4 linked regions of the Sus scrofa genome follow. The protein of the gene in region 2 purifies or fractionates together with the protein of the main gene of each other region. This does not show direct contact. Links are inferred from orthologs where the notes say so. Each region holds a gene or a part of one and is shown on either strand. Other genes may lie near its edges.

Region 1 (4,119 bases), on a different chromosome or scaffold from region 2:
CCTTTAACTACCTGGGAAAAAAATGAGAACAAGTAGAAACCTAATAAAAATGGCTGGGGTCAGGGAGTGATTTTAGTCTTAGAAACTATTAAAAAAAAACAAAAGCATAAACCTTAAATGCTTAAGTTATATTCCTAGTTTAAGAATACAGGAATGATCTGACTTAAGACCATTTGAGAGGCAAAACTAAAACTAATCCCCAAACTTTGCCTTTCCCTATCTTAAAAGAAAAACACTCCAGCAAGCTTAAGTAGGCTGTATCCATTTCCAAGGACATGAAAAAACGGTGTTAAGTACACACTGTACTTTTAATTCCGAAAACAAAAAATTTAATGGCAAATGGTTTTACAACAGCTCAAGTAGGATTGATAAATGAACAAGTAAGTCAAGTACTTAAATTCAAATGTTATAAAATTGGATTTGGCAGACAACCCCCATTTTCTGACTTTAAAGAATATATACCAAGGGTAAAATAAGGAGGCACTTTACTTTTTTGAAACCTAGGTAAATTGCATGTAATGCCTGGTAATCAGATCCTAAGTGAAGCCTTTACTCTAAAATACATTTTGGAAAAAATAAGATCCTTGTTCCTTCTCCAGGAGCTTCAACACGATGTGATTAACTTAACCTTTTTGACACACATTAACCACAGGAATGACAGTGTACGTAAAACAACCTTTGTGCAACAAATGCGCAGCAAAGAAAAATCTTTATTATGCTGTACAGTCCCGAGGAGGAGTGAAGAGGAGTCTGACTCAACCAGAGAACCTTAACATCGATCCTTCCACCTGTAACAGAAAGTGTCAGCTTCTGGAAGTCGCGGGGCGAACCGCTGGCCGGTATGCCTCCCCCAGCCCGTCCTCCTGGGAGCCCCAAGGCCTTCTCCACCTCAGGGTAGGGATGTGCCCCCACCTGAGTGTCTCTCCCGCTGTCTCTCGGTCTCTCAGAAAGGCAAAAACGGCCAGAGGCACCGCGTGTACAGGCCTCCGTCGAGACAGGAGGTCCTTGCAGGTTCCCTTGACTCGAACCTTCATTCCAACTCCCCGAACACCAGTCACCTGCCCCTCGGACCTGTACCTCCAAACGCTGTAACCCTGAGGGGGCAAAGCAAGAATACCCACGTCCCCAGCCCTGGCCATCCAGGAAATCCTCTCCGTGCTTAATTAAAGGCCTCGAACCTTCGGCGAGGCCAAGTTTGGGGGCACTTCCTTGGGCAGAGACGTGCCGGCCTTGCTGCCCGGCGGCCGGGCGAGGAGGTGCCCAGGGCCAGGACGCGCTGGCCCTTTAAAGGCGCTCGCTTCCTGCGCTCGCGGCCCCTCCCTCGCCGTCGCCTGCTCCCGCCCCCGCCGAGGGTCACACTTGAACTTTAGCTCGCCCCGCGCCGCCGGGCGCCGGCGCTCCGCAGGCGGTGGCCGCCCCTTTGCACGTGTCGGAGACGCTACCTCTGGCTCTGCGCGCCCGGACCCCTGCACTCGAGGCCACTTAGAATAAAATCAAAATAAAACAAAATGCATACGGCCTCCAAAAACCGCGCGGCCAACCTCCACGGGCCGGCTGCCTCGCGCCCTGCCTGTCCCCTCCACCTGCAGCCCCGTCCCCCAGCGGCGGGGCTCCGAGGCCCCTCGCAGCGGCCTCCCCCGCCCAGCGCTGCGGAAACGGCTCCGCGGGGCGGCGGGGAGCTGGGGGGCCGCGGGGGAGGAGGGGAGCCGCCCTCACCCCTGAGGTCGTGGAGGGAAAGGAGCAGCGGCAGGAGTTCGCGCGGGCCGTGGAGAAGGGGGGGCAGGTCGCAGTGAACCCCGCTCTCCGTTCACTGGAGAACTTTTTTTCTGGTTGCTCTGAGGTCCACTTCTTGGCGTACTTTTTTCACTACTTCGGTCCCAACTCGCCCCTTCCCGCTCCCGCTCCAACTCTCACGAGAGCGTACACACAGACGTTTATTCCAATCCTCCGACGGGTCCGAGGCAAGCCCACCACCCACCTCCGATGCTTCTTGCACGCGCTGCCCGCGTGCCCTGCACTTTCAAGCCAAGCAAATTTGCACAGCCGTCCCCTCCGACCTAAGGCGGAGGCAGGGCTTCCCGTGCCCCCCTCCCGCTCCAGCCGTGCGCCCCGAGGCCACTCACCTTCCAGCCTGCCGAGCTGTTGCTGTCGCCCTTATCCTTGAAGTAGGGCACGCTCTTGACCATCCACTCGTAGATCTGCGATAGCGTGAGCCGCTTCTCTGCCGAGCTCTCGATGGCCTTGGTGATGAGGTCGGCGTAGGACAGGTTGCCCCACGCGTTGCGGCGGGACGAGCTGCTCTTGCGCGGCTGCCCGGCAAGCGACCCGGCGGCGGCGGGGGGCACAGGCGGGTGCTGCGACAGCGGCCCGGGCGGCGGGGGCTGCTGCGGCGGCGCCGGGTGCAGGCAGCCCGCCTCTGGGCCCTGGAAGTCCCCGCACAACCCCCCGGTGGCAGCAGCGGCGGCCGCCGCCGCCACCGCGGCTGCCGCCGCCGCCGCCGCCGCCACGGAGCCGGGCGCCTGCTGGAAGTCCCCGCTCTCCTCCAGCAGGCTCAGGTTGCTCATGAAGTCGGCGTTGACAGCGGCCGCCGAGGCCGAGGGCAGGCCCGCGGCAGCGTCGGGGTTCGCGGCTGGGCCACCCGACGGCGCCGGGCTGGAGGTGGCCGAGTTAGACTGGCTAAACTCCGGCCTGGGCAGCGGCCAGGTGCACGAGCGCGGCCGGGGCAGCGGCTCGAAGTCCGGGTCGATCTCCACCACCTGGGGCGCTTCGGCCATGGTGACCCCCGCCCCTCCCCCAGCAGCGGGATTGCCAAGAAGTGCGAGGGCGCTGCACCAGGAGCTGAGGGGAGAGGGCGCGAAGAGCCGGTCCGAGATTTTGGGGGGCGAGGTCGGTGCCGCGGGCGGACGGAAACCCGGAGCAAGACGCGGCGGCGAAGTGGAAGCGCGAGCCCAGAACTTAACTTCGCGGGTCCATCAACATCTAGGCTCCTCCAGGTCCGCTGCACGGACGGGACGGCAGGCCAGAGTCGCCCAGCCCAGGCAGCGCCAGCGTCGCGCTCCTACTGACACGGCCCGAAAACCGAAGGAAGGACGGGCGCCGCGGGCCGCTCACTCTCCCCGGCGGCGCGACCGCGGCGCTGCTGCCTGTTGAATGTGGCGGCGGCGGCGGCGGCAGCGGCGGCTGCTGCTGCGACTACGCTGCCGCCCGACTTACGGGATCTGCCGCCGCCCCCCGCCCGCGGCGGCGCGCGCGCTTGCCCGCCCCTGACTGATAGCCCCAGCAGCCAATGAGCTCGCGGCGGCACCGCCCAGGCAGCCAGTGGACGCCGGCCTGGGCGGGGGCTGGTTTTCCAGCGGGAGGTGGCAGTGGGTTGGTGGGGGTAGTGGGGTGTTTTTTTCTTTCTCACACACGCACAGTCTCCCTCACTCTTTTTTTTTTTTTTTTGGCTCTCTGTTATTATTTTCTGGTAATTTTCGAATGTTTCTGTGAGTCTCTCCGCTCTCAGTGTTTTGATTGCTGTGAGGCAAACCAGCGTGGAGGCGGCGGCGACACTTTGTTTACTACCGGGGAGCAGAACCGAGTACTCGGGAAGCCCGAGTGGAACGAGTCGCTCGCTTGCCCTCGACCTCCGCTCCGGGCCCAAAGCCGGGCGGGGCGGGGGCCGGAGACGCTGGGCGCTTCGGGGGCGCTGAGTGGGCGGGCGGAGGCGGCCTCGCGGAATTCTGCTCAGTCGCCCCCTCTCGACTCCGCCCTCGACTCCTTTGCTGAGAAACGCGGGGAAGTCGGTGGGTTTTGTTTTTGTTTTGTGTTTTTTTCCTTTTCCTGCGATGTATCGAGTCCTCGGGCCCCGCGCGAGCCGCGCACGCCTCCAGGGGCCCGGGCTCTGACTGTCGTGTCCGCGCGGAGGACGCCCTGGCCGCCGCCTCCGCGACCGGAACCCACCTGTCTGCGCCCGAGGGCTGAGCCTCTGAGGTCGAGTGTAGCCGGGGGCCCGTTGTCCGGCCCAGCACCCGCCAGCCGGGTTCCCTCCATTCTTGACCTGAAAGAGTGGAAGCGAGAGAAGGGGGCTCGGCGCGGGCTGCAGATAGTCCTACTTCCCACGCACCCTCAGACCCACAG
Region 2 (4,205 bases):
TTCCCAGGCTTGGTAAACAGCAGAATGAGGATGCAAAGCCAGATTTGTCTGACTCCACCACAATCCTTTACTGCCTTTCTAATGAATCCAACACCTAATAGAGATCCCCAGACGGTAACCTGAAGGTTCTCTTTCCTAAAGAAAGAGTTAAAAGCAAAAAAAAAAAAAAAAAAAAAAAAAGTTTGGGATGGAAATGCTGTAAAATTTGGTTGTGATGACTGTTGTACACCTATAAATGTAATAAAATTCATTAAGTAATAATAAAAAATTTAAAAAAACTATATATATATATATATTATTTTTTTAAAGTAAGCAAGCAAGCAACCAGTCAACCTTTCCTCAAAGAAAGCCAGATGGGGAATTTAGGTATATACTTATTTACCCTCACTCTGCAAGTCTTCATCTTTATTTCTTGTATCTGTCTCTTCTTCTATCACCTCCAGTTTCAGCTTAGAACAAGATCACCTCTTCTACAGACACTTTCAAAGCCTCCTAACTCTGTCCACTCACATGTTCGAATCTATTCAGAAGCTGACCACTGCCTATCATCACTCCCACACCTCTCAACAAGGCTCTGAGTTTTTATTTGCAACACCCTACAGTTTCATCTCAACACATCAGTGTGTCCTTTTAAAAGGTCACGTCACAACTCCGCTCAACAGCACCTCTAGCCCATCTCCCACTACCTTCTCCTTTGCTAATCCACTCTTGGAATATGGCTTCCACGTAGTTCCTTGAAAAAACATGACATTCCTATGCCCCAGGGTCTTTCCACTAGCTGTTCCCTCTGCTTGGGGTTCTCTTCCCCAAGGTATGTGCATGGCACATTCCTTCGTCTCCTTTATGCTTCTGCTTAAAGCTTGCTGTCCAAGTGAAGTTTTCCCTTAACGCCCTGCTTAAAATTGCAAACCAGCTTCCCACCCAAGGACCTCCAATCCCTTTTGGCTTGTTCCATTTTTGCTTTTATCCATAGCACGTATTCTAGTATACCATACACCAGATTTATGTTTCCTGCATCCTCTCTCCGAAGCAGAAACTCCACGAGGGTGGAAATGTTTTTGTTTTGCTCAATGCTATATCCCCAGTACCTAGAACAATGACTAGCATATAAAATGTGCTCAGCAAATATTTGCTGAATTAATGGTTTACATGGTTTACCAGCAAGAAAAACTGATAACCCCAGGTCAGTGCACTGTTTACCCTATGGCTTTGCATACTCCTGGAGTTCTGGATCCACTCTGGGAGGCACTTACTCATCTGCCTGAGAAGCCTGGTAACAGAGAGCTATTAGAGGGGAATGACGTGGTGCGTTTTACATTTCAGTCAGTCCACTCTGGCTCTGGGGGATGGATCTGGGGAGGATAAGGCTGGAATTATGAGTCCATTCCAATATTCAGATGTTGACAGCTTGAGAAATATTCAGGACACAAAAGGGAAAGATGTAATGATTGGATGGATGTTGGGGTTGGTGGGAATCTGACTGATTTTCAGGTTTGGGGGCTGGGCAATTGAACAGATAACACGGGCAGTCATGGAGACAGAGCATACCAGAATAAGCCCACTTGGGGATGGACCCGGGAAGAGAAGTCTCTTCTTCCACCTAGTTCAACATTCACTTTAGCAATCCCTTGACAAATAAGTAAAGTTGATTTTGGCAAAAACCTCAACCAGAGCAGCAGAATATAAACAAAAAGAATCCTAAAGGATCATTTCTTTGTTCTCATTTGTCAGTGGCACTAAGCTGGCCTTAGACCAGGCAGAGTCCTTCCTAAAGAGAAAGGCAGGAACGGATTCTCCTGGATTCAAAGTCTATTGTGCATCTTAAGATATACAGCTACCAACATTTCTGTTAACTTCTAAAGCAACGAATTTTCTCATCTCTTTGGAAAATAACTTCAAAATTAGGCAATTTTAAAAGCGCTCCATCCTAATGATCCTTAAACAAAGGTTTACCAACAAAATATTTCAAGCTACCACTTACTGCACCGATAGTTTGACCCTCATACCTTACCTGGAAAGTTCTCTCGATTTAGCTTAGGTCTGCGGACGATCACAAAGTCCTTTTCATTCCCTTTGCTCTTCAGCCGTTTTCGCGGAGGGCTCTGCGGGTGGCCCAGGTTTGAAAGCAGTTCCTGGGGGATGTTCTCACTGTCCACCTCCTCCTTCTCCAAGGCAGAGACCCCCATGCCTGAAAGCAGTTCAGAAGTCTTGCTAGAATCCCATCCCCACGTGAAGCTGGTGGTAACGTTGCTACTCTGGTCGGGAATCTCCTGGAGGTGCTTCCTGCAGATAAGCACAATAGCCCCCGTTCCTTTAAAAAACACACCCGTGAATAATTCCAAACAGGCCTAAAGGAAGCTGCAACTTATGCATTACCGAAAACGCTCACAGCAGCTAACTGAACTTGCATTTTAAGTGCCGGCGGCGAGTTCCCAAGAATGAAAGAAAAAAGAACCAAACACACCGAACAAATCGAAAAGGCTTTTTGATTTACGATCATGCAGAAGGCCTCAAGAATGTCTCAAAGTGGATGGAACAGATAAGAAGAGGGCAATTATACAGTGATTGAAAACAGGAGCAGAAAAGCCCAATAAGGGAAGCCAAATAATATCGCACGCTGATCACAGCACTAAAGCATCCACCCATCCACGTTTTCCCAAAGAGGAGGTTAAGCAACCATTCACATTGCAGCATTACAAACAATATTAGGAAGTAGCAAAACTCGCGGCCTAAAAGAATTAAGATGGTCCACTCACGGTCTGCCCCTTTCTGCAAACGGTTTACCTGTGCATGGCGTCCGCAGGTTCGGGAGTTTTAAACGCGTGCATTAATTGCAGAGGTGCCCGCCTCCCGGATTCCCGCTTTGGCGCGCGGCGGCGCACTGCGTGTGGCTCCAGCCCCCAGCAGTGAGACCCGCGAACTCTATCAACGTTCCATCCCCACCGCGCGCGCAGAAAACTTCTGCCCGCTCTCCTCCCCGCTACCGTCTGCGGCCCCGCTGCCTTCTGGGAATTGTAGTTTTCTCCCTGCCTGGCAATCCGGCTGCCTCGCCACTACTTCCTTTCCTCGCAGCTTTCCCCGCCTTCCATATACCCACAACCCCCCGCGGTTGCGGCACTGGACGGCCCACAGGGTAGGCGGGGAGGCGGAAGTGGGCGGTGCTCCAGCCGACCGGGCTATGGCAGCAGCTTGACGGGCGACAGGTTTTCTTTTCCCGGGAACCCCTAGGCCTTCTGGTGACAGCCACCGCCGTCGCCAAAGAGCGTGGGTTCCAGACCCCAGACGGCTGTGGCGGACAGGGGGTTTCCAGGTCCTTCTGGAATCTGTCCGGCGAGATCGGACGGTGAGCCTGAGGGGGGAGAGCCTGAGACATTTTGGGATCTGGGGCCAAGTGCAGGCGGCGAGAGAGGGACCCACGAGACCCCGAGAGGCCGCCGCCGCGGGGCCTACGTTCCTGGCCGCTGAGTGGAGGCAGTGGCCCGCCCCGCCCGCCAGGTGAGAGGTTGCGGCCGCGGGCGTCACACCTGCCTGTGTCTACCCCTCCGCCGGGAGCTGCTTCCTCCATCCGGGAGAGGGCAGCCCTTAGGATTGGGTCTGTGGACAAGATCCTTTCCTGATCTGTAAAATAGGCACTATGGCAACGAAGGATTATTTCACATCTTGCCGCCGTCAGGGTCAAACCAGAGGAACATGAGTGAGAGCATTTTGTAAGTGAAGGCGCAGTTTGAGTCAAAGGTGGTGGTTGAATTTTAGGGGATCAGGAGACCGCTGTGTTCCTGTCCGCAGTGGCAAAGCTGAGCATCCCTTTGCAGCCTTGAGCAGTCTTACAACACTAGCATGACTGTATCCGTATACGCTAGGGGCCACTAACAAAGCCTATCGGTTGCTCTCTCTCGACCGGCTGCTGCTGATTGCCTAATCTCTGAAAAGCAGGCTGCTTTTGCCTACCTCCGCGGAGAAGAGTTTGGAGATGGTTAGAGAGCGTGCCATATTCCGAGTATGATGACCGGGCGAAATCCACTGTGCAAACTGTACTATAACTGTGACCCTGGGAAAACAGGGTGAGAGAGAGAGAAGGGGAAAAAAAATCCAACTCTAATAAAAGTGGAGAGGATTTATAAAGCCCAGAAGTAAGCAGGTCAGCGTCATCACAAAAATATTAGAATGTTACCTCAGTATGCTGTGTGGCATACCTTCTTATTTCT
Region 3 (3,994 bases), about 30 Mb from region 2:
GTTTCTTCAGGAAACAGGGCCCAGCAGAAAAAAATCGGCTCGCACACCGAGTCCTCTCTCTTCTGCCCCTTTTGTCAGAGACTTGATGCACCCACGCACGGCATGTTGGTCCCCAATGTGCTGAGTTCAGCAGACGGTCTTGGCGCCAAGTCATCCCCAGGACCGCCCAGGAACCCAGTGGAATTCGGATGAAATTAAATAAGGAAGGACCAGCCCTCGCGAGCCCCCTTCCTTGGAGTTATTGCATGTCTCCTTGCAAGAAGGAGCCTGGAGTCCCGGTGGGTTGTGAAGATCACCTCCCGTGGCCTTTCAGCAGCTGGGAGAGGTCGTGATGGGGCTCTGAAGGTAGCTCAACGCACTGTTCGTGGGGTGACGGGGATGGAGACGGGGAAGTTGAAGACGGTGGTGGTGGAGGCGCCTCGGTCCAGCACGGCCATGGCCGGGCTCCCAGCCTCCGCCGAGCAGTGCGGGGCCAGGACCTGGGACTCAAACTGCAGCAGCTGGCCCATGAAGCTGAAGTTGGGGGAGATGATGCTCCTCCTCTGCTTCACAAACTCAAAGGCCTCGTCCAGCTTGACTCGGTTAGTCCTCATGAGGTAAGCGAGGCAGATGGTGGCCGATCGGGAAATGCCCGCCTGGCAGTGGACAAACACCCTTCCGCCGGCATTCTTGATGGAATCTGGAAAACAAAGGGCAGCGGGTTACTTGAGAGCCCAGGAGAACAACCCCAACCCCAGGGAGAGGGTGTCTAAGAGATGCTGTGTGTGTCCTGTCCAGAGGTGGTCACTATCACCTCATGCCATCACATGGGCCCTGTTCCTGGAGGCGGATGGGGGCACTGCGCAAGAGGAACAGGGCATGTAAACCCAGACCAGGGCATGTGAGCAGACCCATGTGGGACAAATTAAGTCAACATTCTGAGATTCGGTTTGCTAACCTGTAAAGTGGGACATCAAATCTATGCTTCATAGGGATGCCACCCACACCTGACTGAGAGTAATGTCTACAGCTTAAAAGAATGTCCCTCAAGTTCTTGCTGTAGAGTTTAGGCTCGGTGGCTCAAACTAAAACAGGGAGGCACAGGTCCCAGGCATCTTGTTCCACTTATTTACCGATGAAATCGATTGCCTCATTGAACCAGGAGCTGATGTCCGCCTTGTGGTTGTCCTCAACGGGGATGCTCTTGTACTGGTAGTGACCCTCAAAATGGTTGGGACAGTTGGCCGAGACGTTGATCAAGGCAGTGATACCCAAGGCATCCAGCATGTCCTTGCGAGAAGCATGGTAGGCACTCCCCAGGTAGAGAAAGGGTAGGATCTCCACTGGGCCACCCTGAAATCCAGAAACATCCAACACTTGTCAAGCCTTGTTCAATGGCAATGCTCATGCCCACACCCACAAAAACTCCCTGAACAAGTCAGTTTCAATACTGGGTGACCTTCGCAGCATCTTGCTGGTATAGAAAATAGGGGACTAAGCCCAGTTGCTTGGGCAGGGCCAACAAAGTTCACTTCTGTAGTGCCAACAATTAGAGACTCAGCTCCATCATACCACTTAACCACGGGATAAATATCCCCGTGTCCCCCGTTATAAATAAAGCTGCATGTCACTTTCTATATTCTCCTACATTTACCAGCTGTTCCTTCTCCCCTCTGGTAAGGCCCCCTACTAACCTGATCGTAGAGTGGAGTGCTGCAAGAACTGCACCCTGATTCGGTGCTGTCAGGGACGCTAGTACTCAGGGGAAGGCTGAGCCCCATGGGGGTCGACTGTTTGCTGCAGAGCTCCGGGCAGGAAACAGAAAAAGCTTCATATCCTCCTGGGAATACAAAGAGACATTTTTTTTCCCATTAGTACCGCCGACACAGGGCACCCTTCAAACAACTCCGCTATCCAACGGGACTGGAAGTTTACCCCGGAGAGGCCCAGGCGAGTCTTTGTTCACAGACCAAACAAAGCCAACAAGTCCCCAGAATGCGGATCGAGCGCCCAGGCGCTCCAGGTGGGGCAGTCCCCTAGATGCTGAGAGCCGGGGGTCCCCGGGCTAGGCGACAGGGGGCGTGCGGCCCGCCCCTGAGCGTCCCCGAGGGCGTACCTTTGAGCAAGAAGATTTGCGCGCCGCGCGCCTCGCGGCAGAGCGCTCCGGCGGCCAGAGCCAGGGTGCCGTCGCGTTTGGCGCACTCCAAGGCAGCGCTGCGCTCGTCCAGCAGCACCACGGCGTGGTAGGCGCCGGCCAGCAGGCGGCCGCGCAGCTCCGCGTTGGGCACGATGTGCTCCAGGCCCATGGCGCCCTTGGCCCGGCGCCGCACGATGGTACTGAAGCGCACGTTGACGGAGCCGGCGATGTGGCCGGCGTTGAAAGCGAAGAAGGAGCGACAGTCCAACAGCAGACACTGCGCCGCGCGCTCCCGCAGCAGCGTCCTCAGGCCTCCGGCGTCCAGGGATCCCACTTCCATGACCATGGCCGGCCCCAGCGCCCCCAGCGTGAAGTCTTCTTGTGCTCTTTGTCCTCGGAAGCCAAGGGGAGGGCGACGGCTTTCGAGGAAAAGCCTGACCCTCGTTTTCTTTAAGCCAAACTCCAAACTGCCTCTGGGCTGAGCGAAGGGTCTTCGTGCGGGTCTCTCGACCGCCTCGGGTTCCTTACTGCTCCCCTGCCTGCCCCTCCAACCCGCGTAGAACCTACAACCCCAACGTCCTTCACGGCGAGTCAGACCCGCGGGAAGCGCGCTTATATGTGGCCTCTCGGCGGGCGGGGCGGGGAGGGGCGCGCGGAGGCGCGCGCGCGCGCGCGCGCGCAAGGGGAGGGGGTTGTTTGTTTGAATGACGGTCACGTGACCGGTGTGGTGACGTCACCCGCCCTGCCGGGCTTGGCGCCGGCCGAGCCAAAGGGGAAGACGTCATCGGCCTCTGAGTGGGGTCCGCTGGCTGCGCTCTGGCTCGGGTCCCATCCCCCGCCGGGCCGTCCGGCCTGCGCCTGGCGCGTCCCCGGGGAGCTGGCCCGAGCTACTCTCCGGGACCGGCAGGGAGGAGAGAGGAAGGGCGCGCGAGCAGCTGAAGGCTGACCTCGGTGTTGAGAGCGGCTGGGAGATCAGGCCGCATGCCACCGGCCTCCGCCTCCCTTCCCCCCGCCCTGTGCCCCTTCCCCGCGCCCCCTCCGCCGCAGAGCAGAACGGAAAGGGGTTTCCTGCGTTTTTGCAGAGATGTGGGCCCCTTTCTCTCATTTCCTCATCCCCAACAGGCGAGGAAACAGGTTCTCAAGGAGAGGCTATTTACTTGCCCAGCATCACGCTGCTGGGGGTCGAGGGACAGAGAGGAGCCTGAAATGAAGGTTGGAGGAAAATTAACGAGTTTGTCCAGCCAAGAACAACCGGGGTGAGTTGGGGTGGAGGTGTTCAGGGAAATATTTTCCTACTCCCCAGACTACTCTCCTGTTACTTAAAAATAAAATGTACATTTAACAAGTAAAATGCCTTCCAGTCAAACCCAAGAGGAAAAAGGTCTTTCTCAGTCATGTGCTTGCCCAGACCATTGTGAACTAAGAAAGGTTAGAAGATTTCAGAGGGCTGAAATCCTGGTCGGGGGGGTCGTAAAGTCAGGTCGAGGACTGCGGGGTTCCGTGTTAAGGGAGGCGGACCCCCCCCCCAGCGCGGCTCGACAGCGCCCTCCCGAGGCCGCCAGACATGTTTTGGGTCACGTTTACTTAAAGACAGTTGTAGCCACTCCATCTCTTTATTCCCCAAATGTGCACTGATTGAGCACCTAACTCTGCCCTGGGCTGGGAGCCTCCAGCTGGGAACAGGAGTCAGGAACAGGAGCCGGGCCCAGCCCCCACGCCCTGGTTCTCGCCACTAATATGGGCTTAACTCGAAATCCCCATCCTGGGTGCTCTAAGAGGATTACCAGGACCTGGACGCGCATTTGGGGAGACCCGCATGCGGTTACCCTCGTCCTGGGCTACCGAGTGACAACCCCCACCCCCCACCTCAGGCGGCAG
Region 4 (4,200 bases), on a different chromosome or scaffold from region 2:
GTATTTAATGCCAGGAGACTGGAAGAGATTGCTATGGGAGTGAGTGGAGATTCAGCTCAAATACGAAGCCCTGGCACACTCTAACTTTTAGCGAGCGGATGAGGAAGGACCACCGAGGAGGTACAGCCAGTGAGCTAGGTTGGAAACCAGGCCCTGTTCTCCAGACTGCGTGAGAAGAAACTATTTCAAGGAGTGAAGAATGATCAACAATGTCAAATGCTGCCAACTGGTCAAGTAAGGAAAGGCTTGAGAACTGATTAAGAATTGAGTCAAAGAGAACAAGAGAAGAATCTGAGACACAGTATTTGTTCAATAAATCCTCGCATGCTACCCTGGCCAGGCACTGTTCTAAACACTGGAAGTACAGCAGTAAACCCAATGTCCCAAACCCTCATCCTGATGGAATTTACATAGACAAACCCTCAAGAAATACTGCCATAAATGGGACAGTTGCTGCAAAGAGCTTTGTAGTTGCAAGGTTTTTAGGAATGAAAAAAAAAAAAAATCACAGTATATTTTCATGCTTCTGGGTTTGATCCAGTGGAAAAGAGAAAGACAAGGTGATGGAATGATATCCTTAAAAAGGCAAAAGGGCATAAGGTGTGCTGCACACACGGGGCGTTCCCCTTGCATAAGAGCAGGGACACATGGGTTACGTAGCGGGAAGGGGGTGGCAGAGTATATGGTAGGTACACGGGACCATGTGGAAATTCTCTTCCGGTTACATCTATATTTTTAGGAAAATAGGATATAGTTATTAACTGAGAGTAAGGATGGAGATGGAGGCTTTCAAGGATAAAAAGAGAAGGGAATGTATAAAATAGGAGGTTTCTATAAGAAGGGTGCAGAGGAATAGAGTCGGGAAATGTAGAGGTATCGCCAGGCAACACAGAGCTTAATTGACAGTTGTGAATTTAAAGTGAGCTCAGTCAGCGTAGGTGTAACTGCCAATTCGTAAGAGGTTTTCAACTTCAAGTTTAAAGAAGTAAACACCACTAAGCACATTAAGTTTGTTAAAACCACCTTTACTCTGTTTTTTCCAACGCTTGAAACATTACTTTGGGTATTTTTCTCTCACTAATCAGATGTCACCAAAACAGATGACTTGAATAGTCTGTAGATGAGGAGAGGCTTCTGATCTGGTCTCCATCATGAATTTCTTTTCTTTTTTGGTCTTTTTTAAACCTCTCAAATTTGCTCACATATAAAATGGAAAGAACACCTGCCCACCTATGTCACTGTATGGTTGCCAATGTCATTCCACTACATATGTACACTACAGACTTAAGGCATGGTTATGAGAAGCTTTGTCTAATAACAGACTTAGATTTTTTTTGTTTAATCTCAAAATTCATTCTTAAGGATCCAAACTCCTCTTTTACATTATAAGTCTCTGAATTTGTTTACAATCAGTTAAAGGAAGTATCTCTGATCCGTTAAGTGCAAGCAACTAATGTCAGATGGCCCATGAGCTGTTTGCCCAACTGTCCTTAGTCAGTCCTGGAGAGAAGTCTACTTTCAAAGCACGCATTTTGAAGTAATCTAGGATAGGCTGATCCAATCCTGATTCTACACCATCACCAATGAACTTAAAAGTTACCCAGGATGCCTCAGGCACAGCCGAGATCAGTGTGGATACCGCTCCAATCTGTGGGAACCCCAGTTCCACAGTTTATTTTGGAGCATTCTCATTTCCTTTTAGCCCAGAACTTAAATGACTTTACGCATACTTACTCTAAACAGTTCCTAGGTTTCTTTCCTTGATATCGGAAAAATAACAGAAAAGTATTCAATATTTCTAGCTAGAAAAAGGACCCAAGAAAGAAATCTTTAATAAATCAAGGTCCCTCTAGTCCAGATTCCAGGGTTGAAATACTCAGGGGACGTCTGTAGGTAAAACTGCCAGAGAAACCCACCTCTCACCATGACATGAGAGCCCTTCTCAACAGGTAACCGTCCCAGCTCTTCTCAGTCGTTACCTGGCCACAGGTCCTCCTGTATTGCCCATTCTCGGTTAGCACCCCTAGTACTGTTCTTTGTGGTGGATCCTGGCTGAGCTGGGCTCTGGACATCATCTGACAGGCATCAGGACCTCCGGACACTGGAGCCAGCACTCTCCCGCTCTTGGAGCTACTGAGATGCATAGCCTCAGTCTCCACAGGCTACTGCTATCAGGGAAGGAGAAACAGACATGCTGGTTAGTCAACCTCTTCCAGCACGGGCTCCAGAATGCAGCAAATCCCCAGAAGAGAGAGCACTGAAACATATGATCTTCACTGCAGTTATTAGGGTTGAAAAGGCCTGAGCCACGGTGCAAGCGATCAAAGCTACTTTGAACCAAAACAGGGATTTGAATCTCTCCAGGCTTTCTTCCCAAACCAGGCTGACGGCTGGAAGGAGGAAGGCAGACCTCCACGGCCGGACACTAAGCCCCAGGTTAATTGGGAGTCCAAACCTACAGGTCTATGTCTTTTCCGGCTATGAGACTTATCCATCACCCCACCATCCCTCTGCCTGCAGTCGACCCAGGATACATCACTGTGGGAAAATATATCCCCTTCCCAAGTGACAAGAAGCGTGCTCTTCCGCGGCCCTCCTCCCGCAAGACATAAGACCCCAAAACCTGCTTGAAGCCCACAGCGGGCCTCGCTCGTCTCAGCTTTATGTCTTTATATATGTCTCGAACAATTGGCAAGTGCACACCAGGATTGGGAATGAGGGGCAGCCTAAGGGGGCGGGGGCGGGGCGGGGCGAGGCGGAAGGGGACCGAGGTGTTAATAGATTCCAGCCTTGGCGCCGGGATCTCAGCCTGGGCTGCCAGCTCCTCAGCTCTAATTATTTTCAACTCCCCCGCCCCCCGCGTCTGTTGAATCGGCCAATCAGCGGCGCTCTCGGGCCTCACGGGGGGGCCGTTTCCATGCCAACCGCGGCCGGCGTGCGCGATCCGGGTCGCATCGCTATGGCGACCTCCTCACCTGACACGCTCGGGGCGGACGCACCGCGACCCCTGGGCGTTCAGGGCTGGGAGGGACCAACCGGCAGCCGCCCCGGGCTCTTCCTGCGCTGCCCTGCCCGGGCGTGCCCGGGCGAGCGGGTCGCCGCGGGCACCCGCGCCCTTTCTGGCTGGCCTCCCGGGTCTGGCAGGGAGGAAGAAGGCCCACCCCGCGATGGCCAGGGTTTGGAAGGGACTGTTTCCTTGAACCCGTTCTCCCAACAGCCACTAACTCCTCCCGCCAACGTCTTTTCCTCGGCCCGCTCCTGAGAACCTTGGCTCGGGAGAGCGACGCGGGGCCCTCGGGGCTGCGCAGGCCGTGGCGCCTTGACCGCGCCCGCCCCAGAGCGCGGCTAGATCCCCTTCGCTGGCCCACACACCTACACCTTCTCCCAGAGAGAGGCCACATAGCTGCGGGTTGGCCCCTGGTTTGGGCTGGGGCTTCCTAATCCGTGGTGGCGGCGTGTCCTCGCTCATTTTGAGTCCTTGCGCACCAGAGGTTGCTCCTGGTCGGCCCGGGTTCTGGTGCATTTGGCCCGGCAGGGTGGGAGAGGAGATCTGGGGTTTTAGGGTCGCACGTGGTGCGGACAGTCCCCACGAGAGGTCTTCCCTGGCGGGTTCCGGCAGTCACGGCCTGAGGCGGGTCCAGGAACGCCGAGATAGTGGCCCAGGAAGAGGAAGGAACGCGGGTGGCAGCGATGGGGCTTGGGACGTTGAGGGAGAACGTAATGAGGCTCGGAACTGGGTTCGGGGCAGGTGGCCTCGCCACGTGGGGAGGAAAATCCTTGGATGGGGGTCCACCCGCAGAAGTTAACTGGCAAGGCAGGTAAAAGAGTCTTTAACGTTGTGATTTTTTGGAAAATATTTGTGTGCACATGTGTGTGTATCTGTGTGCACACACATATACACATTGCATATAAAACGTTGCTGCTTTTGTCTGCTTTTATTTTTTTAAATGCTCATCCCTAAGCAGACCACCAAAACCATTTAAATGAGCATTTTAAGAAATGATTAGCTGATCAGTTATCAAAGTTCCCCTCGTGGTGCAGCGGAAAGGAATCCGACTAGGAACCAGGAAATTGCGGTTTGATCCCTGGCCTCCGCTCTTTGGGTTAAGGATCCAGCGTTGCCATGAGCTGCTGGTGTAGATGGAAGACGGGGCTTGAATCTGATGTGGCTGTGGTATAGGCCTGCAGCTACAGCTCCTA

Evidence for each region. Proteins that work in one complex are often made in the same cells at the same time.
Region 1: the proteins of SKP2 (region 2) and FOXO1 purify together in Homo sapiens (affinity purification with western blotting; 4 studies listed by BioGRID). This does not show direct contact. The link is inferred for Sus scrofa from reciprocal best matches to the Homo sapiens genes SKP2 and FOXO1.
Region 3: the proteins of SKP2 (region 2) and DUSP1 purify together in Homo sapiens (affinity purification with western blotting; 3 studies listed by BioGRID and IntAct, with this or other methods). This does not show direct contact. The link is inferred for Sus scrofa from reciprocal best matches to the Homo sapiens genes SKP2 and DUSP1.
Region 4: the proteins of SKP2 (region 2) and CCNA1 purify together in Homo sapiens (affinity purification with western blotting; 4 studies listed by BioGRID). This does not show direct contact. The link is inferred for Sus scrofa from reciprocal best matches to the Homo sapiens genes SKP2 and CCNA1.

What each region holds. Positions count from the first base shown.
Region 1 is NC_010453.5:15,407,260-15,411,378, forward strand, and holds the start of FOXO1 (forkhead box protein O1), read right to left. Parts: upstream 2,801-4,119; 5' UTR 2,775-2,800; coding exon 2,124-2,774; intron 1-2,123. UniProt on the Homo sapiens protein: Transcription factor that is the main target of insulin signaling and regulates metabolic homeostasis in response to oxidative stress.
Region 2 is NC_010458.4:21,461,865-21,466,069, reverse strand, and holds the start of SKP2 (S-phase kinase-associated protein 2), read right to left. Parts: upstream 2,801-4,205; 5' UTR 2,793-2,800; coding exon 2,785-2,792; intron 2,284-2,784; coding exon 2,012-2,283; intron 1-2,011. UniProt on the Homo sapiens protein: Substrate recognition component of a SCF (SKP1-CUL1-F-box protein) E3 ubiquitin-protein ligase complex which mediates the ubiquitination and subsequent proteasomal degradation of target proteins involved in cell cycle progression, signal transduction and transcription.
Region 3 is NC_010458.4:51,456,730-51,460,723, reverse strand, and holds the start of DUSP1 (dual specificity protein phosphatase 1), read right to left. Parts: upstream 2,801-3,994; 5' UTR 2,463-2,800; coding exon 2,096-2,462; intron 1,820-2,095; coding exon 1,674-1,819; intron 1,333-1,673; coding exon 1,113-1,332; intron 680-1,112; coding exon 351-679; coding exon of another isoform or gene 310-350; 3' UTR 1-309. UniProt on the Homo sapiens protein: Dual specificity phosphatase that dephosphorylates MAP kinase MAPK1/ERK2 on both 'Thr-183' and 'Tyr-185', regulating its activity during the meiotic cell cycle.
Region 4 is NC_010453.5:12,394,749-12,398,948, reverse strand, and holds the start of CCNA1 (cyclin-A1), read right to left. Parts: upstream 2,801-4,200; 5' UTR 2,624-2,800; exon of another isoform or gene 2,460-2,623; intron 2,169-2,459; 5' UTR 2,145-2,168; coding exon 1,980-2,144; intron 1-1,979. UniProt on the Homo sapiens protein: May be involved in the control of the cell cycle at the G1/S (start) and G2/M (mitosis) transitions. May primarily function in the control of the germline meiotic cell cycle and additionally in the control of mitotic cell cycle in some somatic cells.